4 linked regions of the Stegostoma tigrinum genome follow. The main gene of each other region encodes a partner of the protein of the gene in region 2 in a complex. Links are inferred from orthologs where the notes say so. Each region holds a gene or a part of one and is shown on either strand. Other genes may lie near its edges. The genes, in order: dual specificity mitogen-activated protein kinase kinase 6-like, A-kinase anchor protein 13-like, mitogen-activated protein kinase kinase kinase 20-like and nod2.

Region 1 (8,106 bases), on a different chromosome or scaffold from region 2:
AGGCCTTCATTTTTAAACTGAGTCGTGGTGTTCATTTTGTGCTAACGCAATAAATGGAAATGCAACTTGTATGTCCTTGCTGCTTAAGTGTGGCTGTGTCCTGTCACTGGCATCAGACTGCAAGGTGACTTCATCATTAAAACAACAGCATCAGTGCAAGGCGGGTCTAGGCCCGAAACGTCAGCTTTTGTGCTCCTGAGATGCTGCTTGGCCTGCTGTGTTCATCCAGCTTCACACTTTGTTATCTTGGATTCTTCAGCATCTGCAGTTCCCATTATCTCTGGTATCAGTGAAAGCTGCTTTTTCTTCAGTGCTCCAGCACTACTTTATGTCCTTGGCTTGTGAGAGGTTCACACTCTAATGAAAGGTTACTGAAGAACTTTGCTATGTAAATCACAAATCTATATTATTTTTGTGGTATGCAGTTGCTTCATCCACATGTTTCCACAGCCATGGACTAGCAGATAATGCACAATAATTTCCAAAATATTATTCAAGAGCAGTAGAAATACTAAATGGCATGTATAACCTTCTGGGTCACTTGAATGCTATCCAGAATGTGTTCGAAAACTGCTGCTGTCATCCAACTTAACTTGCCAGTAACCATCCTTTGCATTTCAGGCAGTAAACGTCTTTACTTCTACAAGTTGTGGCAAAGCATCTTTAATGGTGGGCACAGGCAGTGAGATTTCTTCAAAGTTTTATTGAGATCTTTTGGATTCATACATATTTTCAGTTTTGCAGGTTTATTCAGTGTTGCTCATTCAGTCTACAGGAGGTGCCACTTCCTTGACTACTCCCTTCTTATCCAGCTGTTTTATCTTGTCTTTCAAGCCAGACTTGAGGGCAGTTGGAATATTCCTTAGCTGAGTTAGCCTTATTCTTTTATCTACTTCATGATCATATTCCAGGAGCACATCCAAGACCTGTAAATGTATCTTTGTAATCTTTTAGGATCTGTTCAGCAATCAATGGCTTCATGGCCTGTCAAATTGCAAATCTCCTTTGGCATATTTAGAGTTACTAGTCCAAGCTTTAGACTTGCTTCAGCTGAGACGAATGGATTTTGCTAAATATCTACTTTCTGGAGCTCAAGATATTCATTTCGTTCCGTTGCATTTGGCTCTGAACTCCATTTATTCTCTGGCATGAGTATGATTCCATTATATAGCTTCAGCTTTACTTTCGATGGATTCAGTTTTGGGTTACCACATCGCACAGGTCTGTGAAACTGAATGAAGCACTGATGACAATTTGACGCTTCATATTCCCTTGATGCTCACATTCTGCAGCCATCTTTCTAACAGTTCCAAACCATTCATTACTTTTAGACTTGACAACTTCAACCTGTTTATGTTATAAAGCGATTCAGCAGATTAGTTTGCTGATACCTGTCCAGACACCATCTCTCTAACTATACACGTGTGCGCAGAGTGATTCGGGTTTTTATGGTTTGAGTACTGTTTTCCATATGCAGGGTATGCTTTCCATTCTTTTGTGCGATGTGCCCCATAAAATTTACATCTTGTTCTCTGGCTATGATCATATTATTATCTTTTCTGCAAATATTTCTTCCTTTTTCGCCCATTGACACTCCAGCTGATTGACAGCTTCAGAACTTCTATATGTATCAATAGCTTTCTTGAGGGTAAATTTCTCTACATAACAAGTGTGCCTGCGAGGCCTTATGCTGAAGACAGTTTTATCTCTGATTATATCATCTTTTAGTTGTGCTAACTCTCAGGCTTAAGCTAGATATATCAATGCAATCATATTGATCAATAGTTCCCTCACGTTGAGTTCTGATGCTGAACAAATACTGTTCATAAATAATGTTAATATGGGGTTCAAAGTGTATCTTCAAAGCCTGAAAAATCTCTCCTGTCTTCTCTGTCCCGCAGTAAGAATTAGGATATTATACAGCTTATAATTTCCTAACAGCAGGGTTGCAACTCTTAGATGCTCAAGTTTAAAATATAATTCTGTTTCTATGTCACAGTTTGGTCACTGTGAGTGGGGAAAAAAAAACAATTCTGTCTCACATCTTCATTTCCACAATAGTACCTAGTGTAAAACACACAGCTATTTGACTCACCCATTAGTTCAAAGTTGTGATGTTTTATCTTACTTCTTCCTTGCTATTACGTTCATCAGCTGACTCTTTTTAAAGCTTTGAACATTAACATATTTTCGTTTGCATCACTTTGACAACATTATCTGTTTAATGGGTGCCCAGACTCTACTCAAATCAGGCACTTGCAGCAGAAGTAGAAGTCACATGGCTACAGCTAGCAAGTCAGTCCTCTACTCTAAAGGCACAATTACATTTCTTCAAATGGGCTGTCTCTTTCAGATGTGCTGATTTACTCTCATGCACTCGCTCATAGACACACACATACATATTCACTCACAGGTGCTGTCTCTCTGTCAATCTTTTGTAGACTCCTCTCTCCTGGGAATATGGAGACTTGATCTCAGGTAACTGCACAGAGTGGGGGAAGAAGGAGCCTTCTCTTCCCTCGCAGCAGCCCTGGAACACAGATCCTTTGATAAGCAGACTCTCGCCCAGCCTTGAAAATTCACTGTTGAAGCTCTTGCATCCAGGCCTGAAGACTGAATGAAGCCACTTACCTTTGCACTGTTCGCTTCTCCTCCACTCAGAATGATTCTCTCCTGTTTTTGATAATGATAGGCTCAGCACTATCACCTGAGTATGGCAGATAAACAGCCTATGACTAGAGGAGCAACTCCTTGAAGATATTGTTTTTATTCAGCTGCATTTTGAGTACTGTTTCCATGATCCACATCGAGACACCTAGTGGGCTTGATTCAGGCCCCTGGACCGTGTGTTGGAAAAGCCAGCTTGCAATAACACTAGTGGTAGATTGGGCACACTGTTGAACATATGTTTTATTGCACAGTAGTTGAAAGGGTGTCAGTTGGAGCATGAGTTTGAGTATAGCACCACCAGAGTTAATTAACATCATGGTCTGTTCTTTGGTTGCACACTTACAGTGGCCATGTCAATGACAACATGGTGTTGATCACAGGCAGGACAAAAAGTGCCAAATGTGTAGGCATTACCCAAGTGAATTTTGTGGGAAGATTGCTGATGCCCTCCACAACGATTTGTTGTGCAAAATGTTTCCAAAGAATGTTCTTGCCTTTCCACATTGTACTACATTGTGAATGTGAAGTCAGGTAGCTAATTCTCCATTTATAAACCTGTTGCCTGAAATTAGATGGTTGAATTATGACCCATGTTTATTGCAATTTCTTGAAAAGCTTTTGATAACTTATGGTTGGAAAACATTGCTTGCCACTCAGGCTATTGCTTATTTAAATTATAAGGTCTCAAAGTATGTTCCATCGTCAAGTACTTGTGCCATCTTGCTGTTGTAGCCATTTGCATAATTCTTCCAATTGACTTGCTTTTTGCTTATAACAAGAAGTAGATTTCTAAACTTTAATTAGAATGACCTCTGTAGGATTATCTTGATCAAATTAATATAAAGTTCAGTAAAATTCTACTCAGGAAATAACTTGTGTACCTTTAACTCCAAGAATAATTAAATGTGCATATTAAAAAATAAACTTTCATATTTTGTCCCTACATTTTTTAAGCTGAAACTATTGGGATATTTTCAGGGGAACCCACCACATTCAGCTGTTAGTAAAGATGAAAACTCAAATGATTGGCATTCTCTTTCTAGGGAAACATCTAAACTCAGCCTGTGTATCCAAGAAGAAAGTGACTAAAGTACATGAGGGCAAGATGTGGACTGTGACCTGCAGCAAATTGCTGATCTGAGCAGGACTGCCGGTAAATGCATCAGGCCACTTTCCTCAAAAACAGTGAAAGAGAAGGTACGAGATTCAGCTCAATCCTCCTGAAAGGGATTCCTGAGCACCAATGGAATAAGCCCAAGGGGAAGACTAAAGCAGTGCAAATTCTGCTCATATCTGCTTGTGAAATGAGTATTTGTTCATCATTATACTAATCATGTCTTTCCAGACCACTTCAGGACCAGGAGTGCCTATGGATTCCTGTCTATTTCTCTGTCCTATTTTCTGCATACTGTTGTTGCAATTAATGTGTTACTAGGTTGATGGCAAAGCACTGAAAGAAGACTGTTCAAATTGATATTCAAAGTATAAGTCACACTTTTGTATTTTTGTTATGTAGTGAGTTATTGGTCATTAGCAAGCTGTTGGGGTTAATTAATTGGAGACACACTTTGTGCACTGCTTTTGATAGTAATTGAAGACTCTTTAAAAAGAGTCAGATCTCTGAAATTAGTCAAGGCATCAAAACTGCTTCTTCTAAAGAAGAGACACTTGAGATGGGATTTCTTTTATTCAATACATAATTATGATCTGTAATGCATTACTGGAAAAGGAACCAGAAATAGATTTTCTGTAATATTCAAAACTGCATTTTATAAACACTTGAATGGATAAAATTTGCAGAACTATGGAAAAAACAGGGGAGTAAGAGTAATTTTCAAAGATCCTGCTTGGACATTTTAGGATAAGTATCCTTATTCTGTGTTATAATGTTCTATGATTAACAATATGCCATTTGAGATAGCCCTGAGGTTTGGTTAGGGGAAAGAACAGCCACACACTTGTGCAGAGATAGTTTGTTTAATGAAGCATTTCCTTTCAGAACACAGCTGCCCATGGGCGTGTGTTTTTTAAAATCAATAAGCAACAGAGAAATACTCAAAAATCCACCTAATATGATTGCCACTTGTAGACATTTGGGTGTTTTTTGAAACGAAAACTTACCTCTGTAGCGTCCTTGTCTGGCAATCTTCCAACTTCCTGTGTGATGTCATGGTTGAGATTGGTTTATTACTGCAGCTTCTATACTGAGTTTGTGGCAGCTGAGTTGGAAGGAAGATTAATGCCGGTGCAATTGGAGACGGGGGTATATTTTTAACGTAAGGAAACAAATTGCCGTTAGGTAGTAGACAGAAGGAAAAAGGTGAAATACTGGAGAAGCAAAGCAACATCAAATTATTTTGTCAGAACAGCGTGCATGCAAGTCTGCATAGTGGGGCCCAAAGCGTGCAGCAAGTTCTCTGAGTTTGTTAATGAGACTTCCCCTAAAGGTTCGTCACGCCTCAGCTGCACTTCTGGGAACTCATGGACAAGAGACAAGGTAAGTTTTGCAATTTTATTGACAAGCTCTCCATCTAATTTATTGTGAGGTTTTTATTTTTTGTGTGCGTTAGAAGCTGCGTTTTGCATAGCTGGTTCAGCGTAGCAAGCATTTTGGAGCTAGCTTGTTTACTTCCATTCGTTGCACAATCAGCCTTCCTTTACAGTAGCTTGTTTGCAGCAAAGACCTAAAGCAGGGAGTTACCGTAAGTTGCAGTGCCAAACAGCAAATGGAGCCAGCTTCTGGTAGCTGAAGGTTGCTAGCTCAGCGTTCTTCCATGCGGTTTTATCCTTTAAGTTGACCCAGCATGGTGATCTTTATAGAAATACACAGTGCACGGATTTCACTATTTCAGTACAATTTCTGCAGCAGTTAATGGATACCCTGAGACTGGGAGTGTTCATCTTAAAGGGACACATTGGCTCGGTTACCAGTTCAGCCTGGTCGTTGTACATTGCTTTAGTAGAAAGATTTAGGTGGAGAAGTTTACTTTGAGACTTTCCCTGTTGGTGTGTTTTGCATTGATTTTCTATATTTGCAATGCTGCATTGTTCTTGGAAGCCATATGCGGTGATAGGAAATTTTTTTTTATGTTGCATAATAGCTCCACTTTTACTGTTTTTGAAATACTTTTGATTTTTGAATATGCGTATGTTTTCTTATCATTAAAGCTGAATTCAATAACTTGTTTTATGAAATTTTTTCTAGTGTGGGTTTTGTGCTCAATGATATGATTGATGTTATTTCTGGGAATGGAACACTTCCTACTTGGCACTCGCTATTTGCATCAAACACTTTCAGATCAGTTACAGCGTTGTTAAATGTAGAGGAAAGATTTATTCTCGTTAATTTGTTCGAAATTTACAGACGCTATAGACGTTGCAAACTAAGTGGAACAAAAGTATTTCGAAATAAACATGCATAATCAGGCTTAAACCATTGGCTTAGTGGTACCATTCTTGCCGCTTGAGTCAGCGGTTTGGGTTTGTGCTCACTATAGGCAGTCCCGGTGAGCGGAGACTGCAGTGACGGCTGTGACCACTGTACTGGATTGGCATCCAGTAGAGGCCACAGAAGGGTGCCCTTCCCCACATTTATAATCAGGGTTCTGTCTTCTCTTGTGAGAGCTCACTGGAAGAGGGCCCTCCCAAGATAAGAAAAAAAAGTGAAGATGCCAATGACCTTGATGTAGTGTAGACCTGTTGGAATAACGAAATGGAGGGGTCACCACTTATCACACTTGGCCAATTTTTAGACGTCCCATTTTACAAATAGTGTCTATCATATTAGCCTGTTCTTAAAATGAAAATTTTGCACAATTTTCCTGAAACTTTAAAACACATGAATATAAGTGGAATGTTGAGAAACTTCTTCACAATTATCAGTTATTCCAAGAATTGGAATCTATGGAGTTTCTTGTTGACTTTGGGTTTTGTACTTTTGAGAGATGACCTCTAGTTGACCTGATTGCTTAATACTTAATATTATTGAATAATTAATTTTATAATAACAATTAGTGATGCAAAAAATATTGTCTCATTGAATTTTTGTCCTTTGTTGTAACACAGCTTTTGATTTCAGTGGCACAATGAAGACTGGATGATCTATAATACCCATGTTTAATCCACTCGGTCCAAATTTCAGATAGATATATCTGACTTTTCAAGAGATTTTAAAAAAAGATGTTCTTTGCAACACAGCTAGAAGTGGTGACTCAGTCTAGAGTATAGTTCTCAAAATGCTGGTCACTGTCTATCTGCTGTTGTGGCTGCACTTCTTCCAATGTAGAGTTATGTTGGACTTGAACTGTGGAAAAGATGTATTTTTTGAGTTTTGTCCTGTTTCACCTCATGCCCATATGCACCTGTGATGAGCAGAAACCTATCTGCAACTTTCTAGTCTAAGGTGGATGGTTAATTGTACCTTTTCAGAGACTGCTGTGGGTGTGGTAAGCTAATTTGACATGAATTCTGTTTAGTATGGCCATGAAAGCTGTTCAGTATGGTCCAGTACTGCAGCAGATGGTGTCTTTGTCTGATGAGCTTGAGGGAGTTTTTTAAAATTGTATTTTTGGTTTGAGGTTTTTAGACTTTAAATGTATAATTTAAATTTAAATCTCATTTCTTAAATGCTGTATTTGATGCATATGCTTGTCCACTCACATCATAAATTTGCCAAACTAGACACATGATCAGGTTATCTTACACTCTCTATTTACCACAGTGAAGATAGAGGATCATCTCATAGTCATAGTTAAAATCTTCATTAAGAGCAGGCATTCTGGAAAAGAAGCAAACTTGCATTTAACAATATCTGTTTTTTGCATCTCTTGGAAGCATTTACAGTCGTTTTGAAATTCACTGCCCGTTGCATGCAGAGACAAATGTAGCTGCTGTATGTAGTAATGAATGCTTGACCAGATTTTTTTTTACTGATGCTGGTTGAGGGAAGAGTATTAAGTGGTTAAATATGCAAATCATTGATATTTTCCCAACCATCAGCACAGGCTTGATAGACTAAATATCACCTGCTGTGCTACAGATTTCTGCCAGATTCAGTGCTTTTTTATTTTGAATCTCATTGTGGCTGTTGGTGTCAGTTTGATTGAATTGCCTACTTTTGAAAAGATTGCGAGATAGCAATATCAACTTCCTTGTGTCAATAGTTATGCTACTGTGCCAAAGTTCAGTTGAAGGCCAAATGTGAACTTCGCGCTTCACCTCTCCAGATTGGAATCTGAGATAACATGGTGTGAAGCTGGATGAACACAGCAGGCCAAGCAGCATCAGAGGAGTGGGAAAGTTTGATGTTTCAGGTCAGGACCCTTCTTCAGAAATGGGGGAGGGGAAGGGATTCTGAAATAGGTAGGGAGATGGGGGGAGGTGGACAGAAGATGGATAAAGGAGAAGATAGGGTGAGAGGAGACAGACAGGTCAAAG
Region 2 (8,334 bases):
TTAGGAGAATGCGACGAGCCGAGCATTCAGGCTATTAGCATCCAAGCTAGTTGTGATTCCAGCTCTCACTCAAAACAGAAAGCTCCAAAAACATTCTGTAACCCTCAACAGCTTCAGTCCACTTAGTGAAACATCCGTAAAATTTATGTCCATCCACCAGGAAAATACTTGCAAACTCCTGTCTTCCTTTCTCCTTACTGCCCTACTCCTGTTTGACATTCATTTTTGACCTATCATGCAGCTGCAGAATCGCCATAGAAATACAAGCTGCTACATAAAAATCTTGGAGGGAGAGAATGGAACCTCTTGCAAGTACAGCAAGACTGTACAGCAATAATTACACATCTTCTTTTGCCAATTTACAAGCGTGCATTAGTGAGCTGTAATGCGTGATTCAGCTTGATAATCCAACTGCAGATCACACTAAAGGGTCAAAGAGCAAAGGCATTCTCAAAACTTGCTGCAGTATGCTGTATAGATCAAATTTGAAAGCCACGAGCGGTCACAATAACAAGGTGCAGAGCTGGATGAACACAGCAGACCAAGAAGGCTGACGTTTCGGGCCTAGACCCTTCATCAGAAATGAGGGAGGGGAAGGTGGTTCTGAAATAAACAGGGAGAGAGCGGGAGCCAGATAGAAGATCAACAGAGGAGATGATAAGTGGAAAGGAAACAGACTGGTGAAAGAGGGCCAGTAAAGGTGAGTGTAGGTGGGGAGTTAGGGAGGACGGACAGGTCAAGGGGGCGGAATGAGGTTAGTAGGTAGGAGATAGGGGGAGGGCTTGAGGTGGGAGGAAGGACAGGTTAGGGAGGCGGGGGCAAGCTGAGCTAGTTTTGGAATGCGGTAGGGGGAGGGGAGATTATGAAGCGTGTGAAGTCCACACTGATACCATTGGGCAGTCATGATGAATCCCTTTCAAGATACAGCCACACAATGATGTTGCACTTCTAGTTTAAATATTAAAAACTTAAAGCAGCAAAAATATAAAAAATAGACAGGAAAGGCTGTGAGTCTTTTGTACTGGAGTGTAGAAGGTTCAGGGATGACTTTATTGTGGTTTATAAAATTATGAGGGGCATAGAAAGAGTGAATGACAAGGATCTTTTGCATCGGCTGGAGGAGTTCAAATCTAGACAACATACTTTTAAGGTATGAGAAGAATGATTTAAAAAGGGCATGAGCGGCAATTTTTAAAAAACAGAGTGGTTCATGTTTGGGATGAACATCCTGAGGAAGCGGCGGATGCAGATACTGTTACGATGCTTAAAAGACATTTGGATAAGTTCATGAATAGGAAAGGTTGCAAGAGATATGCGCCTAGTGCAGGCAGGTGGGACCAGTTTAGTTTGGGAACATGGTCAGCATGGATGAGTTGAAATGAAGGGTCTGTTTCCATGCTGTGTGACTCGAACATCCTGTGGATTACCACTGGCTAGAAACTGAACCAGCAATACAAACTGTGGGCACAAGAGCAGGACAGAGGTTAGGAACACTGCAGCAAGTAACTCACCTCCTGAATCCACCATTAACAAAGTACAAGTCAAGAGTGCAATGGAACATCCTCACTTGCTTGGATGTGTACAGTTCCAGCAACATTCAAGAAGCTTAATGCCATCCAGGATAAAGCAGTTGGCTTAACTGGTATCACATCCACTCTTCCGCCAATGCACAGTAGCAATAGTGCATACTATAAACAAAATGCAGAAATTCACTAAAACTTCTTCGATAGCACATCCCAAACCTATGAGCACCATCCAGGAAGATGACTATAGTGGTAAATGCATCAGAATACACCATCTGCAAGTTCCCCTCCAAACAACTCACCATTCTGACTTGGAAATTTATCACTGTTGCATCAGTGTCACTGGATCAGACTCCTGGAATTCCCACCCTAACAGCACTGTAGATCTATCTATACCAAACGTGCCGCAGCTCACCACTACCTTCTCAAGGGAAACTAGGGAGGAGTGATAAATGGTAGCCCTGCCAGCAACAGCCACATCCCAAAGTGAATTTTTAAAAATTGACAGTTGAGAGGATGAGTTTACATTTGGGTTCACTGATGAATTCCAGAGCATTAGAGCACAATAGTCCCAGTGACAGAAGAGGCAGTGAAGTGGCTGAGATTGCGAGCCAAGGTGAAACGAAAGAAGATCACCAAAAAGGTGCTATGGGATCGTGGAGCAGTTTGAAATCAAAGAAACTGCAGCAGGCCAAGATGCAAAGATGACAATTCAATGCAAGATATATCTGAGCCCATAACGGGGATCCTTTGAAATCACCAAGTGCGGACATGCTTCTAGAGACTTTTTGAACATTTTAGATTGAGCTCAGTTTCCCCTGACTTGTTGTTAACCCAGTAGAAAGGAACATATGTGCTCTGGTTGGAGAACAGGGAAAAAAAAAACTGAGGAAAGGGTGGGGATCCAAGTGGAGATTGCAATTTGAATCTATTAGATTCCAGCCTTGGGAAACTGATTTGTGTAAACTCTACACATTCTCCCCATGTCTGTGTGGGTTTCCTCGGGGTCCTCCAGTTTCCTCCCACAGTCCACAAATGTGCAGCTTAGGTTGCCTGGCCATGCTAAATTTCCCACAGTGTCCAGGGGTTATGTGTGGGAAATGTGAAGTCTCAGACATGGGGTGGGATGCTCAGAGGATCAGTGTGGACTTGATGGGCTGAATGGCCTCTTTCTACACTGTAGGGATTCTATGACATGCCTTTTACGCAAATAAAGACCTTATCACTGCTTTAAGAACAGAAGAAGAACACACAGAGAGGGGCAACACTGCACAGGCACATACAAATGCAAATGTTACAGGCACATTTGCTATCAATGCAAACAGATTTCAGCCCCACACTAACCAAAACAAAAGTATATAACTCAGTGCAAAGCCATCAAACAGATATTTCATAGTTGAACAAATGCTGCGCCCCAAGCTTCATTCTACTTGCGAGACAGCTGCAAGTTTAGTAGTTGCTCCGATGTATCATCTTATGGATGCATCACTAAAATTAAACTTCGCCCACATTTAAACTTCAATCAGCAGTGCTTGCTTTCCTTTGCTGAAGACAGTGCACAGCTGACAGGACGACTCAGCTCCTACTAATTCTAACTGATGCCTGTAGCAGCAATATTGGCTTCTGCTTATGGATAAGCCTGAAGATGATTAATACCAAATTGTCTTTAGCACGGCTTAAACCTTAGCAAGGGTGAAAGCCTGACCACATAGTTTATAGGGGAACAGTTGAAGAATGCAGCTGCACACATGCCTGTGGTTTGCAGTTCTCACACAGCACGAAACACATACTGCAGACTCAACCTAAACACAAAAGCCAAAATCAAAGAAACATCTGAATAAATTCTCAAAATAAACGGCACAAACTTACAGCACACAGCAGACATGTGGGAGTCCAAAACTGGAGTTTAAAAATAGAAGACATTCACTAATGGACCCAATACGCAATTTAGGACAAACATCCTTCTCTGAGAGAGTGTACAAATGTGGAACACACTACCACAAGGCGTAGTGAGATAAGTCACATAGCTGCATTTAAGAGGAAGTTCGATAAGCACTTGAAAGAGAAAAAGGATAGTGTTAGAGAATGCGATGGTAAGACGTTCTTGGGGAGTATAAATGCTGGTGCAGAGTAGTAGGGACAAAATAAATTGCTTCTGTGTGCTGTACTAAATGCAACATGACAATTACAACACCTGAAGGAGAAACAGTCCATTTCTGTCCAGACAACATGCACATTGCTCAGAGAAAGTAAGGCTCGATCTGCATCGTCCCTTGGTTATGGTGGTGAGTTTGTATCCTTATAAAAGCATTTGGGCTCGGTCTCAGTCATGTCGTGCGTGTAGTGTGACAACACCCCAACCTTTCTGGGTAAACTCCATCTACAGGTCAGACCGCTGATCTGTGCGAAGCTTTGTGCTACATGCCAGAGCTGTGGCTGAAGCTGTGGAATAGTTTGTCGACATCACCCATCCAATGAAAATGCAAGCGTATTCTCACTAATGTGAAGAGGGAGGACAAGGGATGAAGGGTCTAGGCCCAAGCCGTCAGCTTTAGTGCTCCTAAGATGCTGCTTGGCCAGCTGTGTTCATCCAGCTCTAAACTTTGTTATCTCTCATCCAATGCTTTGGCTGGAATATGTAATTAAATCCTTTCAAGCTGTAGATGCTAAATAACTAGGTTCAGTACACAAGCTGATTCAAATTGTGGTCAAGCAGGCAACAGAATCGACACAATAAAAAAGGGATTCAACATTATACGGCCCCAACAATTTCAAATTCAGAGAATACACAGCACCAAGACTACTGAATTAAGAGAACATACAGCATTAAACCCATGGATTTCTTCATTAATATCTAACTGTAAGGGGCACCAGAGTGCATCAGACACAAGTGCAACAACACTCCAGTAAAATGGTGACGCTTGCTACAAAAGAAAGATGATAACAGTGGAGAAACACAAAGAGAACGCCACAATCCAGATTTTACAGAAACCAGCAAGCAGCATGGCCACAGGAAGAAAATGTTTGCTCCTTAGTAAACACCTTCTTGTCCAATACAAGCGCTGACCAGCAAAATGTGACTCCAGTCCAATTTAAGAGAAATCAGATCACAGTTACTGGATCCAGAATGTTTCTGGGTTAGACTTGCCTTCTGTCACTCAGGAACAATTCACAGAGCACAGCACAAAAATTCCCTGGATAATCAAACAGTAATCAGTAACATCATACCTTAAATTGCACAAATTCTACTGGTGCTAAAATAAACTGGACAGGGTTGAAAGCAGATTGTTTCAACTAAAACTTACCTTGGTTACTGGAGTGCATAAATAATTAAACACACTTTGAAACAATTCTCTAAACATTATATTTGAAACCATTTCACATCAAGCAGGTTTATCGAAGCACAATGCTAGCATCAGCATATTTAGCATCTTGGCATAAATGACATTCAGCTTCACTGGTAGATTAAATTAATTAGCTTCAAATGAAATAAAATCTTTAGGAAGACAGCAACTGAATTATGTTGGTAAATCAGCTGACATTCGTACCTCCCTCAGGGTCAGATGTACAAAAGAATCACATTCTTACTGCGTGCTGCAGTGAGACGGTGGATTAATGTATTATCATAACGGCTGGGAACAATGCTAGCTGCTAACCCACACGTGGCACCCACACTTGGACTGAGTTCTTTGTTGCCTTGTTTAAAACTGTAATATACTAAAAAGGACAAGCACATACAAAGGCTCAGAGGACATAGAACCAACCCCCACCCCGTGCCTCCTTACAGGGCAAAACAAAGGAAAAATGACGAAAAGCCCAAATCTCCTAACTTACTATGGAAACAACACAATTCGACTAAGAAAGATTGTACGAGCCAAGACGATGATCAGCTGGTTCTGATTATTCCAACTGATCTCATCCTGTTTTCAAAAGCCATTAGTTGAGTCAAGATTCATTTCTGTAATGTACAGCCTCATCATTCTGCCAAGCATGGAATAGATTCTGCAATTTGAGAATACCATTTGGAAACCCAGACAAGATAACTCACAACAAATTATGAAAGGGTTCCCTCAGAAGATCACAGATTCCCTTGAATTTCATGAAGGATGTTTGGAGAATATCTTCCCCCAGTACATGATCTGAATGACTTTTATAAACATAGGTGGCCTAGGATTATAACTGGTTCATCTAATGAATTCCTGCCTCATACCAGAGACACATTGCAGAGCAGCGAACTCTTCTGGAGCCATTTGGACAGATTTACTCAGTTGGATCACATCCTCAGATAATTAAGCAGTGAAAGAACAACGCTGACCAAAGCTTTACATCAATTCGCTCACCACTCAAAATGGTCTTGATTTGACTTGAGGTTCAATCATGAACATTTGGCCAAACATCATCTGGGCTTGCTGTTGGACATTAGCAGCATCACACAAGGGATAGTGCAGAGGGCAAAGAAAAACAAAAAAAAAAGTGATGTCATTTTCACTAATGGGAGTGAACAGGTGCTGTAATTATTATCTGGAGGTCAGTGCTTGTGACTGGAAAGAACTATTCCATTAATTTCCAAACTCAACACAGACAGTCACCTGAGGCTGGAATCGATCCCAGGTCCATGATGCTGTGAAGCAGCAGTGCTAACCACTGAGCCACCATGCCATCAGGGGCAACATTTAAAAAACTCTACAATATGATTTTCTATATGCTGATGTTTAGGTTTTGTTTTAAAAAAAAATCAACCTGCTCAGGAATATTATGACTCAGCATCAGAATAGGTATGACATGAATCTGGAGACTTCCTGGCATCGATGTAAGGACACTTATCTCTGTGCCACAGTAGCCCCTCAATTTTCCTTTCATGGTGTGTTTTGCCATCCTAATTGTTCTTGAACTGAGCAGCTCACTAGATCTCTTCAGACAGCATTTAATTTCCTCTATTTAGATTGGGTAAGGATAGCAAAGATTTTTCCCTAAAATATACATTAAAACTCAGCAGGTTCAATGCAGTGTTGAAAGCTGAGGAGTGATCTTATGAAAGTTTATAAAATCATGAGTCATGAATAGCCAAGGTCTTTGACCTGGGGTAGTGGAGTCCAAAACCAGAGGGTATAGGTTTAAATTGAGGAGGGGAAAGATTTTAAAAGGGATCTAAGGGGCAACTTTTTCACGCAGAGGGTGGTGTATGAATGGAATGAGCTGCCAGATGAATTTGTGGAGGCTGGTATACTTACAACTTCTAAGGGGCATCTAGATGAGTGAGAGTATATGAACACAAAGGGATTAAGAGGGATATTGGCCACATTCCAGCAGATGGGACAAGATTAATTTAGGATATCTGGTTGGCATGGACGAGTTGGACTGAAGGGTGTCTATGGCGTACATCTCAATGACTCTATAATGACAATCTATAATAGCTTTATGGTCACCATCACCAAGACTAACAATGATTTTTAAAATTTCCATTAACAGCCATAGTGGGATTCAAACCCATGTTCCCAGAGTATTTTCCTGGGCCTCTGAATTACCCGTTCTGTGACATTACCACCGTCTTTCCTGCTATATTCAGGACTTTTGTTCTGCTTTCCCAACATGAGAATGAACCTCGAGCCACAATCATCTATTTCCAAAAAAAAAACTTGTTTAAAAATTGAGGCTTGAGCCTGGGCATTTTTTAAATGCATTTTTAAACAATTTTAAAAGTACTTTCATAAACATTCCTTTACAAATATCAATTTACAAAGTAAAACAGGAGTTTAATTTTGTGTCAAATTTCTTAAAGTTGGCTTCCACATCCAACTTCAGAACAACTCAGAAATACGAATAAGTGAGTGAACGCCTTAATTATATCAGCCAAGTAAGAAATTTCACATGGGACATGTTTAGCTAACATTATCTAAAGTACAAGGTCAACAAACCACAAACTCGAAATCGCAAATTCACGGACTAGCTTGGGGCACAAGATAGCACACTTTCATTGAAATCTGGTCCTTTGCCTGAAGTTGGGAAATGGTTTGGGGGGAGGGGAGAGATGAACGGTATTCAGTGGGGGCAATTCAGCATCTTTAAATAGCTTAATTGCAGAAACGTCACCTTTTGGATTAGTTGCAACAGCCTATTTTAGATCTTATCCCGAAACTTATATAATGCTTTGTATACATCAAAACATTCCAAGGCTCATGCATACCCCTTCGGGAACAAAAAACAGAAATTGCTGGAAAGGCTCAGCAGGATTGGCAGCATCCGTGGAGAGAAATCAGGTTAATGTTTTGGATCCAGTGACCCTTACTCAGAAAAAATGCAGAATGCAATGTTACAGCACAGTGAAGGTGCGGCGAGAGAGGTCCGAATTAACATTCGGATGTTTAAAAACAGCAGAGTAGAAGCTGTTCTCGAATCTGCTTGTACATCAACGTGGCTGGACCAGGACAGATTGTTGGTGATCATCACTTGTAGGACTGTGAAGCTCTTGACCACCTCCACCTCAGGATCATTGATGCAGACAGGGGCATGCCCTCTACTCTGCTTCCTGAAGTTAACAACCAGCTGCTTTGTTTTGCTGACGTTGATGGAGAGATCATTGGCTTTACACCACGATGCTGAGCGCTCAATCTCTTTCCTGTATTCCGTCTCCAACCTACAATGTTGGTGTCATCAGCAACATTGTAAAAGGAGTTGGGGCAGAATTTGGCCACACAGTCATGAATGCACATGGAGTATATTTGGGAACTGATTTCACAGCCTTGCGGGGTTGAGGGCTATGGTGGACAAGGTGATGTTGCCTATTCTTACCGATTGTGGTCTATGGGTCAGG
Region 3 (7,945 bases), on a different chromosome or scaffold from region 2:
CCTCACAAACCACAACTCCAAAGTGGAATAAAGTCATCCCTGATCTTGTACAAAAGATCTCCAAGTTCCAACTCATGATTCAAATACAATTATATGCAGGCCTCAAACTAGGACATCGACATCTTTCTCAATTAGCAGCTACACTACCTTTCTCTTTTTATTAATACAAGATGGCAAGGACAATGAAGGCCTCAAACATCATCCCAAAATACAAATTGTAGATTGCACCATTTCAGCATCCAGCTACTTCTTACATCTCAAGTGCCATTGCTAGAAGCTACTCACTAGGAGCTTCTTAAAAGAAAGCCCTATTAATATACGTGTTCTGCACTTAAGCTTTGATAACACTGAGCCTGGAGCCTTTTGGCATGTTGTTCAAGCATGCTTAAAGTATTCACATCCTCTGTCCGTCTTACTCAAATCATTCTTTGTAATTCACCACCTTGAAGCAAAGCAGAAATAAATAATTTAAATCTCTGCAGACTAGAAGAACTATATATAGAATTTTATAATAGTGAAATTCGAGTAGGGCTCTACATCCAGACGATTAAAATAGCTCCATCAAAACCATTTACTGATTTCAATGGAAACACTAAATACACATTTAAGAATCCTGAGAGACTACAAGAACTGATAAATGCATTCTTTCATAATTGATTCTCTGCGTGGTCCAACTACTTACATGTCCTATCAGAAAATGGTCATGTGTTTATCAATATAGAAAGATAGCTGCTTACATTTTGGCCTAAGAAGTTTCAGTCTGGTGCTCACCATATCTTCCTGCACAAAACTTCTTGTGAAAACTCACTGGGGAGAAACTCAATTGGTCACATGTGCCAAGCCAACCTTATTGAGTCAGCCTGAAGAACAGTCTCTCACTTCCCTTACTCCTGCAGGAATTGTCGCAAATTACGTCAAACACAACAAAGCTCAAAAGCAGACCAATAAAGATCAGACACGAATAACACAGAAATATGATGCTTTCATAAAATAGAAAAAGTAGCCAGGTTAAACATGACAAATAAACACAATCAACTGTAGTAATTACAATGTGTTTTAGTTATTGCAATATATGATACTGAGTTAACTTTCTGATTTTAATTAATCTACAGAAGCACTGAAGGTACATCATCAGACATGGTTACATCTTTGCAATTAATCAGGGGTTCGTTCGACAGTTTACATAAGTGTGAATTTGTACATTTGGGGAAATTCAACAGTGCAGATGAATTACTAGAATAAAAAGTAATATCAATCACATGGTAAATTGATCCATTTTGCACGCTGAAGAGAGTTTGGGAATTGGAACAGCCACAAAGGGCAGCAGATTTATTGCTATAAAAGGGTTAAAGTATTCAAGAAATTAGACCACAAGGTTATAGGAGCAGAAATAGGCCTAGGCCTCGAGTCTGCTCCACCATTTGATCACGGCTAATATGTTTCTCAACCTTATTCTCTTGCCTTCACCCCATAACCCTTGATCTCCTTACCAAGCAAGAACCTATCTCTGTCTTAAATACACTCAATGACTTGGCCTCCACAGCCCTCCGTGGCAGCGAGTTCCACAGGTTAACCACGCTCTGGCTGACAAAATTCCTTACTTCACCTCTAAAGGGTTGTCCATTCACACTGTGGCTGTGGATCCGGATCCTTGTCTCTCCTACTACAGGGAACATCTTCTCCATGCATATTTTATCCAGGTCTCTCAGTATTCCGCAAGTTTCAATCAGATCCCCCCCCCACCCCGCCTCATCCTTCTAAACTCTACCAGGTACAGGCCCAGAGTCTTTAACCACTCCATATATGAGAAGGTTTTCTAGATCATTCTGGAAAACCTTCTCTGGACCCACCTCCAATGCCAGCAAATCCTTCCTTAGATCCAGGATCTACAACTGTTCGAGTTCAAACTGGACCAATGCCTTATAAAGCACCAGCAGTGCATCTCTGCTTTTGCGTTCTAGCTCTCTTGAAATGAATATTAAGTGCTTTTGTTTTCCTAACTGCCAAATGAACCTGGACATGAAGAGAACCCTGAATTTCAGCTCTTCAGAGGTAAGTGTAGCCTTGATGTACCAAATGGGCTGCTTCAACACTGTAGGGATTCTATAATTTTGCTGACCCCTGCAGAACTCCACTAATCACTGGCTGTTACTCTGGAAAAAAAACCCTTTTATCACTACTCCCTGCCTTTTGCCAATTGTCTATCCACATCAGTACCTTGCTCTTAACACCATGGGCTCTGAAAATAAAAGTTAGCAGAAAGGAGATCCACAAAATACATAGCACAGCAAAACTTCACCTCTTTTTCTATTTTTAACAACTTTTTTACTGCCACCTCTTTGTCCCGAGATAACCATGTTGCTCTATAGACACTACCAAAACTTCCTCCGCCACAGTTTTCATGAAACTGCAAATCATCAAACTTGATTTGCAAAAACGATGGACTGAAGGACAACATTGCATACTGACAATTTCAGAATCTGAAAAACATAGAAACAAATAGTTAAATAAAAAGTCATCAAAATCAGCATGCTATAACTATTTCAAACTAAATGATCAGTTTCAACACACCAGACAAATGATTTTAAAATGCAAACAAAAACATCGGTCTCAAAAAAAACAGAACTTCTGCATCTGTTGTGTAAAACAGATTTTTTTAAGAGTTTAAACTATCAGAATAACGGCTACAGATGGCTTTCACCGTGTTATATTTTCCATTTTAACTTTGCAGGTTTACTACGTTGACGGGTCCAAAAATAATCCACTGGTGTGCAAAAAACTTTGGGGCGTCCCGAGCCCACGGAAGGCGCTATGTCAAGACAAGTTTGTGGCTTAGAGCCCGTGCGCCTGTTGAGTTTCCAGGGACACTCTATCCCGACGCGGAAGCGCTGTCAACTTGGAAACTGGGTCATGGCTCTGGAATGTGACACACGCAAACTGTCCGCTTCGCAGAGAATAGCAGCTAGTAACACAGATTGGGCAGAGACCCGCTACAACGCTCTTACGTACAAATTAGAGACTTTTTTTTCTAAAATGCCAGCAATAACTTCCTAAAAAGGAGCAACTTTCGCAAAACTCAATGGCTATTCCCTGAAGTAAACACACTTCTGGGAAGTGGGAGGCGGTTTTGCTGAAACCTATCACGTGAGAGTTCTGTGCAATGCTTGAGATCCCAGAGCGAATGTAAATGTTTAAAAAAAGCCTCCAACCAGCAAAGTTCACTGGACTCCGAGACTTGCCAATGACACAAACCACACGATTACAAAAGGCCGTGAAAAGTACAACCGGCAGTTACTCCAGACACATTCGCAGGAAACAGCCTTCTTTACTTCTGTCTGCAGTTTTAATAAATAAAACTCCGCCTTGAAGATTGCAAATAAAGCAACGACATTCAATTCGGTATCATTTCTTACCTCTTACTACACTTAGCCCAGCTTCCAACTGGAAATGAGACAAGAACTCAGCACAGACGAGAATCACTGCAAATAAAATGACCAAAACCCTCCCGACACCAAGAGCCCGCCCCTTCCTCCTCCCACTCCAACCCGCACCATCAGAGAGAACCAGAACCTCCTGCAGGTGAGCCACACTCAGAGAGAACAAGCGTCCCCTGCTGGTGAGCTAAACTGTCAGAGAGAACCAGCGCCTCCTGCTGGTGAGCTGCCCGATCAGAGAAAACCAGCACCTCCTGCTGGTGAGCCTCACTATCAGAGAGAACCAGCACTTTCTGGTGAGCCTCACTATCAGAGAGAACCAGCACCTCCTGCTGGTGAGCCGCACTGCCAGAGAAGTAGCACCTCCTGCTGGTGAGCCGCACTGCCAGAGAAGTAGCACATCCTGCTGGTGAACCGCACTCGCAGAGAGAACCAGCACCTCCTGCTGGTGAGCTGCACTGTCAGAGAGGACCAGCACCTCCTGCTGGTGAGCTGCACTGTCAGAGAGAACCAGCACCTCCTGCTGGTGAGCCGCACTCTCAGAGAGAACCAGCACCTTCTGGTGAGCCTCAATGTCAGAGAGAACCAGCACCTCATGCTGGTGAGCCGTACTCTCAGAGAGAACCAGCACCTCCTGCTGGTGAGCCGCACTCTCAGAGAGAACCAGCACCTCCTGCTGGTGAGCCGCACTCTCAGAGAGAACCAGCACCTCCTGCTGGTGAGCTGCCCTATCAGAGAGAACCAGCACTTCCTGCTAGTGAGCCACACTGTCAGTGAGAACCAGCACCTCCTGCTGGTGAGCCGCACTGTCAGAGAGAACCAGCACCTCCTGCAGGTGAGCCACACTCTCAGAGAGAACCAGCACCTCCTGCTGATGAGCCGCACTCTCAAAGAGAACCAGCACCTCCTGCTGGTGAGCCGCACTTTCAGAGAGAACCAGCACCTCCTGCTGGCGAGCTGCACTGTCAGAGAACCAGCACCTCCTGCTGGTGAGCTGCACTTTCAGAGAGAACCAGCACCTCCTGCTGGTGAGCTGCCCTATCAGAGAGAACCAGCACTTCCTGCTGGTGAGCCACACTGTCAGTGAGAACCAGCACCTCCTGCTGGTGAGCCGCACTGTCAGAGAGAACCAGCACCTCCTGCAGGTGAGCGGCACTCTCAGAGAGAACCAGCACCTCCTGCTGGTGAGCCGCACTCTCAGAGAGAACCAGCACCTCCTGCTGGCGAGCTGCACTGTCAGAGAACCAGCACCTCCTGCTGGTGAGCCGCACTGCCAGAGAAGTAGCACCTCCTGCAGGTGAGCTGCCCTATCAGAGAGAACCAGCGTCTCCTGCTGGTGAGCTACACTGTCAGAGAGAACCAGCACCTCCTGCTGGTGAGCTGCCCTATCAGAGAGAACCAGCACTTCCTGCTGGTGAGCCACACTGTCAGAGAGAACCAGCACCTCCTGCTGGTGAGCCGCACTCTCAGAGAGAACCAGCACCTCCTGCTGGTGAGCTGCACTGTCAGAGAGAACCAGCACCTCCTGCTGGTGAGCTGCACTCTCAGAGAACCAGCACCTCCTGCTGGTGAGCCGCACTGCCAGAGAAGTAGCCCCTCCTGCTGGTGAGCCGCACTTTCAGACAGAACCAGCACCTCCTGCTGGCGAGCCGCACTGTCAGAGAGAGGCAGCACCTCCTGCTGGTGAGCTGCCCTATCAGAGAGAACCAGCACCTCCTGCTGGTGAGCCACAATGTCAGAGAGAACCAGCACCTCCTGCTGGTGAGCCGCACTGTCAGAGAGAACCAGCACCTCCTGCTGGTGAGCCGCACTATAAGCGAGAACCAGCACCTCCTGCTGGTGAGCCGCACTGTCAGAGAGAACCAGCACCTCCTGCTGGTGAGCTGCACTCTCAGAGAGAACCAGCACCTCCTGCTGGTGAGCCACACTGCCAGAGAGAACCAGCACCTCCTGCTGGTGAGCCGCACTGTCAGTGAGAACCAGCACCTCCTGCTGGTGAGCCGCACTCTCAGAGAGAACCAGCACCTCCCGCTGGTGAGCCGCACTGTCAGAGAGAGGCAGCACCTCCTGCTGGTGAGCTGCACTCTCAGAGAGAACCAGCACCTCCTGCTGGTGAACTGCACTCTCAGAGAGAACCAGCACCTCCTGCTGGTGAGCCACACTGCCAGAGAGAACCAGCACCTCCTGCTGGTGAGCCGCACTGTCAGGGAGAACCAGCACCTCCTGCTGGTGAGCCGCACTGTCAGTGAGAACCAGCACCTCCTGCTGGTGAGCCGCACTGTCAGAGAGAGGCAGCAACTCCTGCTGGTGAGCTGCACTCTCAGAGAGAACCAGCACCTCCTGCTGGTGAGCCGCACTGTCAGAGAGAACCAGCACCTCCTGCAAGTGAGCAGCACTCTCAGAGAGAACCAGCACCTCCTGCTGGTGAGCAGCACTCTCAGACAGAACCAGCACCTGCTGGCGAGCCGCACTGTCAGAGAACCAGCACCTCCTGCTGGTGAGCCGCACTGTCAGAGAGAACCAGCACCTCCTGCTGGTGAGCCACAATGTCAGAGAGAACCAGCACCTCCTGCTGGTGAGCCGCACTGTCAGAGAGAGGCAGCACCTCCTGTTGGTGAGCTGCACTGTCAGACAGAACCAGCACCTCCTGCTGGTGAGCCACAATGTCATAGAAAACCAGCACCTCCTGCAGGTGAGCCGCACTGTCAGAGAGAACCAGAACCTCCTGCTGGTGAGCCGCACTATAAGCGAGATCCAGCACCTCCTGCTGGTGAGCCGCACTGTCAGAGAAAACCAGCACCTCCTGCTGGTGAGCCGCACTGTCAGTGAGAACCAGCACCTCCTGCTGGTGAGCCACACTGTCAGAGAGAGGCAGCACCTCCTGCTGGTGAGCCGCACTGTCAGAGAGAACCAGCACCTCCTGCTGGTGAGCTGCACTCTCAGAGAGAACCAGCACCTCCTGTTGGTGAGCCACACTGCCAGAGAGAACAAGCACCTCCTGCTGGTGAGCCGCACTGTCGGTGAGAACCAGCACCTCCTGCTGGTGAGCCGCACTCTCAGAGAGAACCAGCACCTCCTGCTGGTGAGCTGCACTCTCAGAGAGAACCAGCACCTCCTGCTGGCGAGCCGCACTGTCAGAGAACCAGCACCTCCTGCTGGTGAGCCGCACTGTCAGAGAGGACCAGCACCTCCTGCTGGTGAGCCGCACTGTCAGAGAGAACCAGCACCTCCTGCTGGTGAGCCGCACTGTCAGAGAGAACCAGCACCTCCTGCAAGTGAGCCGCACTCTCAGACAGAACCAGCACCTGCTGGTGAGCCGCACTCTCAGAGAGAACCAGCACCTCCTGCTGGTGAGCCGCACTCTCAGACAGAACCAGCACCTGCTGGTGAGCCGCACTCTCAGAGAGAACCAGCACCTCCTGCTGGTGAGCTGCACTCTCAGAGAGAACCAGCACCTCCTGCTGGTGAGCCACACTGCCAGTGAGAACAAGCACCTCCTGCTGGTGAGCCGCACTGTCAGTGAGAACAAGCACCTCCTGCTGGTGAGCCGCACTGTCAGAGAGAACCAGCACCTCCTGCTGGTGAGCCGCACTGTCAGAGAGAGGCAGCACCTCCTGCTGGTGAGCTGCACTCTCAGAGAGAACCACCACCTCCTGCTGGCGAGCCGCACTGTCAGAGAGAACAAGCACCCCCTGCTGGTGAGCTGCACTATCAGAGAACCAGCACCTCCTGCTGGTGAGCCGCACTGTCAGAGAGAACCAGCATCTCCTGCTGGTGAGCCGCACTGTCAGTGAGAACCAGCACCTCCTGCTGGTGAGCCGCACTCTCAGAGAGAACCAGCACCTCCTGCTGGTGAGCTGCACTCTCAGAGAGAACCAGCACCTCCTGCTGGCGAGCCGCACTGTCAGAGAACCAGCACCTCCTGCTGGTGAGCCGCACTGTCAGAGAGGACCAGCACCTCCTGCTGGTGAGCCGCACTGTCAGAGAGAACCAGCACCTCCTGCTGGTGAGCCGCACTGTCAGAGAGAACCAGCACCTCCTGCAAGTGAGCCGCACTCTCAGACAGAACCAGCACCTGCTGGTGAGCCGCACTCTCAGAGAGAACCAGCACCTCCTGCTGGTGAGCCGCACTCTCAGACAGAACCAGCACCTGCTGGTGAGCCGCACTCTCAGAGAGAACCAGCACCTCCTGCTGGTGAGCTGCACTCTCAGAGAGAACCAGCACCTCCTGCTGGTGAGCCACACTGCCAGTGAGAACAAGCACCTCCTGCTGGTGAGCCGCACTGTCAGTGAGAACAAGCACCTCCTGCTGGTGAGCCGCACTGTCAGAGAGAACCAGCACCTCCTGCTGGTGAGCCGCACTGTCAGAGAGAGGCAGCACCTCCTGCTGGTGAGCTGCACTCTCAGAGAGAACCACCACCTCCTGCTGGCGAGCCGCACTGTCAGAGAGAACAAGCACCCCCTGCTGGTGAGCTGCACTGTCAGAGAACCAGCACCTCCTGCTGGTGAGC
Region 4 (7,575 bases), on a different chromosome or scaffold from region 2:
ATTAGGAACAAGAGAAGGCAATACAGTCCATCAAGCCTCCTCTGCAACAGTAGGTCTTGGGCTGCAATTAGACTTCCCTTCTACTCACTGTTCCCTGAAAAACCAAACACTGTCGTCATCTCAGTCTTAAATATAATCAAAGATGATGCCTTCACATCATCCCTAGTAGCAAATTCCAAAGAAATGCCACCTTATCAATAAAGAAATTCTTTCCATTCAGTCTTAAATGGTCGCGCCCTTAGCCTGAAACTTAACAGCTGTCTGAGATTTCCTGGCCTGGGGTTAACAACCTCTCTGTATATGCTGTCAGATAGTTTTTCATAGTCCATGAAAGCCTGTAGGCACTTGGTTTGTTGAATATCCCAACCCATACTGATTTACCTCACTCCAGAGTCCATGGCTGTCTTCCTCATTCATCTGCCTCCAGTCCCAGCAGTATCCATTACTGAGGTCGGGTACTGCTTCCCTTCTGTCAAAGACTGTGTGTGGGTATCCTTCTCCATTGATATTAGTAAATGAGAACAATTGGTGGCAGTGAATCTATCCCTTATGCTCTTCAAGAGATTCACTTAATCCAATGGTCTATACCTTATTCTTGACCAGAGCTTCACAATCTTCATTCATCTATTGTTCCCTATTCTTCTTCTTTAATGCTGGTCAAAATTGGATCAGTGAGATGACCAAGCATTGGAGCACAGTTATATATTAAAAAGGTTAACTGAAAGCATTTAATTTCATGGGATGCGGATAAAATCCAAAACGAGATATACCTAAACAACTCAGAGATAGTAAGAACTGCCAATACTGGAGTCAGAGATAACAGTGTGGAGCTGAAGGAACACAGCAGGCCAGGAAGCATCCAAAGAGCAGGATAGTTGATGTTTTGGGTTGGGGCCCTCCTTCAGACATGGGGGATGGGAAAGGGATCTCAGAAATAAATAGAGAGAGGAGGGGTGGGGCTGGGGAAGGTAGGTGGGACGGTGATAGGTGAGTGCAGGTTGGGAGTGGTGGGGATTGGTCAGTGAGGTGGGAGGAGCAGGTCAACATCAAGGTCAATCAAACAAACCTTTCACATCAGACAGAGGTTCACACACACATCTGTCAATGTGGTCTATTGCATCTGCTGCACCCAATGTGGCCTCCTCTACATCGGTGAGACCAAGCAGAGGCTCGGAGACTGCTTTGTAGAGCACCAGCGCTCTGTTCGCAACAAATGACAACACTTTTCAGTCGCGAACCACTTCAACTCCCTCTTCCATTCCCTGTGTGTCATGTCCATCCTGGGCGTCCTCCCGTGTCACAATGACGCCACGCGGAAACTAGAAAAGCAGCACCTCATATTCCACCTTGGGAGCCTACAGCCCAATGGTCTCAATGTGGACTTTACCAGTTTCAAAATCTCCTCATCCCATGACTAACCGTCCTTCTCACCCCTACCTCCTTGACCTGACACAACCTGTCCATCTTCTCTCCCACCTATCCACCCCTTCTACCTCACTGACCAATCCCCACCATTGCCTACCTGCACTCACCTATCACCATGCCACCTACATTCCCCAGCCCCACCCCTCTACTTATTTCTGAGCTCCCTGACCTCTCCCTATTTCTGAAGGGTCCCATGTCTGCTTTGCTATTCCTCTGATGCTGCCTGGCCTGCTGTGCTCCTGCAGCTCCAGCTGTATTATACCTAAACAACTAATGAGATGCCCAATTCAAAAAAAACCTCACATTTATACAAACCTTTCACAAATACGGCACATCCCAAAGCATTTTACTGTAGTATAGTATAGTGTATACAGTGTAGTATTGGACTTAGAAACAGTTCTGGATGTGAGTTTGCTCGCTGAGCTGGAACGTTCGTTTTCAGACGTTTCGTCACCATTCTAGGTAACATCATCAACTTCTCAAAACTCACTTAGGAACAGTAGCAGAACATTTGGTTCCTAAGCCCAATGTTTCCATACTACACTACATACACAATGATTGCATTTTGCTCCCAAGCCACGCAACATTTTGATTTGGAGCGACCACTGCTTCAGTCACTGAATCAATACATTGGAATGTCTTTTCCAACAGCATCGCGGGCTGGCTACAACCGTTCAAGGTGCCTGTACACTGCTCTCAACGGCAATAAGGGGTGGGTCATAAATGCATCGCGTATGTCTTTCTTTAATAAAAAGATAGTCATTCGCTCCCTACCAGCTAGATTCTTTGCCCCAGTTTACAAAATGAACGCATGCAAACTCGATTTAGTTTCGATTAAAGATGGCATACTTTCACCCCTCAAATTAAACAGGGTGAGGCTCAGTTTACTTTCACCTACAACCTCATCTTCAGAGTTCTAGACAGATTGAGCTGCCATGAAGCTGGAAATTGCTGTATGTAAATATAATCTGGTATAGGCAAGAAATGCCTTTGGTTTGTTTGCTGGATAGAATCAAACAAATCACTGTCCGCTTGTTTCTCGATATGCCACTGCACAGAAGCGAACAGCTTCACTATGTATGTATATAAAGATTTTTTAATCAATAAAGTATATTTTTGATATTAAAAATGCTATTTCGAAACAACCCTAAATAAACATAATAAACATTTTTTTCTGCGTATGTTAAATCCTCCGGAGGGCCATCACGCTGAGCTACCCAGCAAAGAGTAGTTTCGGTTTTATTCGTCTAATCCGAACCCAGCATCAAAAACATTACAAAAAGGCTCTTTCCTTCAAAGAGCAGAGCAGCGCTGAGCAGTGACAGGATTTTACAGGTAGATAACTCCAGGTGTACTTCTGACTTTGTGTATGGTATCGCTAGCACGTTTTTGAAAGTTTCACATCCCCGTCAATAGCAACGCAGGAAGTTTTCATAACGGCATGTAATAAATGAGTACAGTGGAACCTTAGGGGTACCTTAAGCAATGTTCTCATCACATCTCAAATTCCACAACAAGGCTCGTGGAATGTGAGGTTCTACTTTTCTGTGCTGTTCCCAGTTGCACACGGCGGCTTCGTAAACTCACAAATGAACTTCCCTTGTGGTGTAGATGCCGGGGGCAGTCTGAGAGCTGCACCCTTTCCGAACTGGTGCGGGAGGCTCAATGCTCAGTGGCTGCTGGCCCAGAAACACAATTAACAACATCAGATAATGATCTCCGTCTCCACTTCCTTCTGGCGCGGAGAGGTACTTCCACCCGTTCTAAAACATCCCGACGTTTCAATAGGCAAGGCTAGTGGTGTTTCACAAGGCGTTCAGGTCAGAGGGAGGCTGAGTCATTCCTTAAGATCATTCTAAGACCGTCAACATCGTGTCAGAATTCAGAAACTGCCCTTTCTCTCTCTCTCTCCAGTTTCTGGCCTATATTAGTTGTGAAAGAGGAAGCTGACATCAGATAACCCGAAGGGCGTCAGTCTGTCGTTGTGCAGAAAAGACAAGTCAACACTTCCGGCAGGGGAAGCAGATTTTTGGAACTGATTACTTGCTCTGAGGAGTTTCGATTTTTGTATCCAGCTGCAGGATTTACAGTATTTTTGTAATATATAAGCTGGCAATAGGTAGGCATGCAAGAAAAACTGAGCATGAATGAATAGGACATGGTAGCTTAGCTTTTACTGCATGGAGAAATACTCCTATTCTGGCACTCCCCGACATTTCAAAGCACCAGAATTGAACCACCAGAGATGCTTTTGCAGGATCTTTCAAATCCCGTGGCAACATAGGTGGTTCCACAGCAGCATGCTCTCCCAAGCCAACAGGCCCAGAATTGAGGTACTAATTATTCCAAACCAGCTTGACTGGACAGTCCATGTCCTTCATAACCTAATGCCAAACTCCCAAACAACTGCTCTACTCAGAACGCATTGTGGTATGGTAACCCAAGGAGGGCTGCAGAGGTCAGACAAGCTGGCCAGTTCACAGGATTCCGAGTTATACAGTCACACAGCGCGGAAACAGACCCTTCGGTCTAACTCATCCATGCCGACCAGGTTTCCCAAACTAAACTAGTTTGCCTGCATTTGACCCATATCCCTCTAAACATTTCTTATCCATGTACCTGTCTAAATGTCTTTTAGATGTTGTAACTGTACCTGCATCTACCACTTCCTCTGGCAGATCATTCCACAGACTACCCTCTGTGTGAAAAAATTGCCCCTCAGGTCCCTTTTCAATCTTTCTCCTCTCACCTTAAACCTATGCCCTCTGGTTCTGAACTCCCCTACCCTAGGAAAAAAGACCTTGGCTATTCACCTTATCTATGCCCTTCATGAATGGATTAACTTCTCTATGGTCACCCCTCAACCTCTGAATGTCCAGGGAAAAAGTCCCAGCCTATCCATCTCCAGGTCCCAGCCTCCGGTCCCAGCAACATCCTGGTAAATGCTTTCTAAACCGTCTCCAATTTAATAATATCATTCCTATAGCAGGATGACCAGAACTGTACACAGTACTCCAATAGTGAGCACCAACATCCTTACAGCCTTACCATAATGTCCCAACTCACTACTCTGAACGATGAAAGCTAGTGTGCCTTTCACCCTCTTCGCCACCCGGCCTAACTGTGTCACTACTTTCAAGGAACCATGTAACTGAATCCCTTGGCCTCTCTATTTGACAATACTCTCAGCGCCTTATCATTAACTCTATAAGTCCTGCCCTTGTTAGTCTTACCAAAATGCTACACCTCACATTTATGTAAATTAAACTCCATCTGCCACTTTGCGGTCTTTTGGCCCAGCTCAGCTTTTAAGACCTCACCCCTTTCATAACCTATGTCACTGACACAATTTGTACCATGACCACTGGATGTTTACCCTCACCCTCCAGAATGTCCTCTAGCTGTATTGAGACATTCTTGATCTTGGTACTAGGGAAGCAACGTACCATCCTGGAGTCTCGTTTTCTGCCACAGAAACACATGTTTATTCCTCTTACAATTCAATCCCTACAATTATTGCATTCCCACACTTTCTCCTCCTTTCCTGTGCAGCAGAAACAACTGTGCTGCAATAAATTTGGCTGTTGCTGGTTTACCCTGAGAGGTCAATCCCCCAACAGCATTCAAAGCAGTATATCTGTTTTGCAGTGGAATATCCTCAGAAAATTCCTGTGCTGCCCACCTTAGACTAAGATGGATGCAGACTAAACAAAAGAGATTTTGAATAGCAAAGTTGGAGCGGCTAAAAGTGGGAAGATAGATGGAAATATGGAGAAGCTGAGGCAAGATTGAGCAATGAGCACTTTGTGACCACAGAATGCTTTGGGCATGACCTTGGTAACAAACATTTCCCTAAGTAAACGCCTTCAGTAATTGGCATGAGGAACAAACTTTCATAAAACCATAAAGCAAAACTGATACAAATGTGAACATTCTCAGATTACTATTTTTGGCAGCTTGGCACTCACCTTATCAACATTGTCCTCTCATTCTGGTTATTTTATCAAGTATGGTTCAGCAAGCAGGAGAGCATCCCATTAACATTCAAAAGTCACACAAATGTCACTTTTCTGAAGAAGGGTCCCAACCTTCATGGATAGGGTGGATAGGTATGATGCTGTTTCCCAGGGTGGAGGGGTTAATTACTAGGGGACCCAGGTTCAAAGTGTTGGGACATAGGGTGAAGGGGAGTTTAAAGGAGATGTGCAAGGCTAGTTTTTCACAAAAAGAGTGATTAATGCCTGAAATGCTCTGCCAGAGGATCTGGTGGAAGCAGACACAATAGCAGCATTCAAGAGTCACCTGGACAAATATATGAAAAGGAAAGGGAGAAAGGGATATTGGATCCTGTAAGAGAAGACAGTTTTATATGGCAGGGAAAATGTGTTGGTGCAGGTTTGGCGGGCCGAAGGGCCTATTGCTGTGTTGTATTGTTCTTTGTTCTTAACTTTGTTTATTACCTGAAACATATTGTTGAAAGAAGACATATTTTGTGGAAGCTTTTCTTTTTGCACTCATCAAGACAGTTTGCACAATGTACCAGATTAAATAGAAAACATCATTCAAAACGAGAATGCTAATTGGTTGGCAAAATGGACTCTATTTGATAGAGGTGTTGTCATGGAGAATGTACTAGTTAATAATGACTGTAAATTAAGTCTCAAGATTTATTTATATTTTAAATAAGCTGCTTTGGATACCAGTATTCCATCACCAAGTTACTCGTTGTTAACATGTGCATAGTTCTTGACACTGGTCTGGCTTCCCAGAGTCAACTCTCAGAGTGCACAGAACCTCTAACAGTGATAATGGGAACTGCAGATGCTGGAGAATCCGAGATAATAAAGTGTGAAGCTGGATGAACACAGCAGGCCAAGCAGCGTCTCACACTTCTGTTTGTACCTGTCAGGCAAGGCTTCCTGGTTGGACCAGATTAACAGCCCCAGTCAGAGAATTCATATTCTTTGAGATTCATTTGGCTGAAACATGTTACAATCATTTCATGTTTGACTCTGAAATATTTTTATTCATTTTTGAGATGTGGATTGTTGCTGGCTGGCCAGTATTTATTGTCCATCCTTAGTTGCCCTTGAGAGGGTGATAGTGAGCCGCCTTTTTGAACCACAACAGTCCACCTGCTGTAGATTGACATTGAGAGGCATTATGAAAAGTTTTGCTTTATCTTTATAGGAACGTATTTGCCCTGTACTGCTACCAATTCGTCCTTGAATGCCTCCCACCGATCTGACACAGTTTTATCTAAAACGAACTGCTCCCATTGCATTTGGCTACCAAATAGTACAGCAAAATAACCGTTTTCTGGTTTAGAACTTTAACTGATTCCTCAAACTTGTTTTTTGTAACTATCTTAAATCTGACTGAGTTATGATCATTCTCTTCAAAATATTCCCCATTGACAAGACTTCTGTCTGCCCAAGCTCCTTTCTAAATATCAAGTCAGAACAGTCCTTTCCCTTGTTGAATTTCCAACGTACTGGTTTAAAAGTTCTCCTGTGTGCAATTTAAGAATTATTCTCCCTCTCTACTTTGCACATTACCTTAGTTAATATTTGGATAATTGAAATGCCCTACTCTTAAGGCCATATTAATCATACACTTCTCTGAAATTTGATTGCGTATTTGATCCTCTTTCTCTCCCTGATTAGGGATGTATACTGCATGTCCAGCAGCGTGTTTGGTCCTTTAGTTTTTTTTTCCGTCTATCGATACTTTTTTTCTTTATTCATTCACAGGATGAGGGTGCAGCTGGCTAGGCAGCATTTATGCCCATTCCTAATTGTTAAGAGTCAACCACATTGCTGTGGGTCGGGAGTCACATGTAGGCCAGACCAGGCAAGGGTGGCAGCTCCCTTCCCAAAAGGGCATTAGTGAACCAGATGGGTTTTTCCTGACAGTCGACAGTCATCATTAGATTCTTAATTCCAGATACTTATTGAATTCAAATTCCACTATCTGCTGTGGTAGGATTCAAACCCAGGTCCCCAGAACATTATCTGGGTCTTTGAATTAACAGTCCAGTAATAATACCACTTCGGCCATCGCCTCCCCTAAATGGCCTCATTTATTGGCCTATCTCAAGAACTGGGCAAGTTCTTCAGCTCTTACCGGGTCTCCTGGCCTGACTCTATC

Evidence for each region.
Region 1: A-kinase anchor protein 13-like (region 2) and dual specificity mitogen-activated protein kinase kinase 6-like share a complex: the UniProt entries of both Homo sapiens proteins name them as parts of the signaling complex. The link is inferred for Stegostoma tigrinum from reciprocal best matches to the Homo sapiens genes AKAP13 and MAP2K3.
Region 3: A-kinase anchor protein 13-like (region 2) and mitogen-activated protein kinase kinase kinase 20-like share a complex: the UniProt entries of both Homo sapiens proteins name them as parts of the signaling complex. The link is inferred for Stegostoma tigrinum from reciprocal best matches to the Homo sapiens genes AKAP13 and MAP3K20.
Region 4: A-kinase anchor protein 13-like (region 2) and nod2 share a complex: the UniProt entries of both Homo sapiens proteins name them as parts of the signaling complex. The link is inferred for Stegostoma tigrinum from reciprocal best matches to the Homo sapiens genes AKAP13 and NOD2.

The regions. Positions count from the first base shown.
Region 1 is NC_081376.1:17,311,796-17,319,901, reverse strand, and holds the start of dual specificity mitogen-activated protein kinase kinase 6-like, read left to right. Parts: upstream 1-4,854; 5' UTR 4,855-5,151; coding exon of another isoform or gene 5,152-5,167; intron 5,168-8,106. UniProt on the Homo sapiens protein: Dual specificity kinase. Is activated by cytokines and environmental stress in vivo. Catalyzes the concomitant phosphorylation of a threonine and a tyrosine residue in the MAP kinase p38.
Region 2 is NC_081386.1:28,171,099-28,179,432, reverse strand, and holds the start of A-kinase anchor protein 13-like, read right to left. Parts: upstream 3,500-8,334; 5' UTR 3,409-3,499; coding exon 3,393-3,408; intron 1-3,392. UniProt on the Homo sapiens protein: Scaffold protein that plays an important role in assembling signaling complexes downstream of several types of G protein-coupled receptors.
Region 3 is NC_081360.1:48,612,053-48,619,997, forward strand, and holds the start of mitogen-activated protein kinase kinase kinase 20-like, read right to left. Parts: upstream 3,521-7,945; 5' UTR 3,414-3,520; intron 3,408-3,413; exon of another isoform or gene 3,010-3,407; intron 2,979-3,009; exon of another isoform or gene 2,702-2,978; intron 2,694-2,701; exon of another isoform or gene 2,572-2,693; intron 2,481-2,571; 5' UTR 2,459-2,480; coding exon 2,300-2,458; intron 2,294-2,299; exon of another isoform or gene 1,625-2,293; coding exon of another isoform or gene 1,607-1,624; intron 1-1,606. UniProt on the Homo sapiens protein: Stress-activated component of a protein kinase signal transduction cascade that promotes programmed cell death in response to various stress, such as ribosomal stress, osmotic shock and ionizing radiation.
Region 4 is NC_081369.1:27,097,484-27,105,058, forward strand, and holds the start of nod2 (nucleotide-binding oligomerization domain-containing protein 2), read right to left. Parts: upstream 3,395-7,575; 5' UTR 2,903-3,394; intron 1-2,902. UniProt on the Homo sapiens protein: Pattern recognition receptor (PRR) that detects bacterial peptidoglycan fragments and other danger signals and plays an important role in gastrointestinal immunity.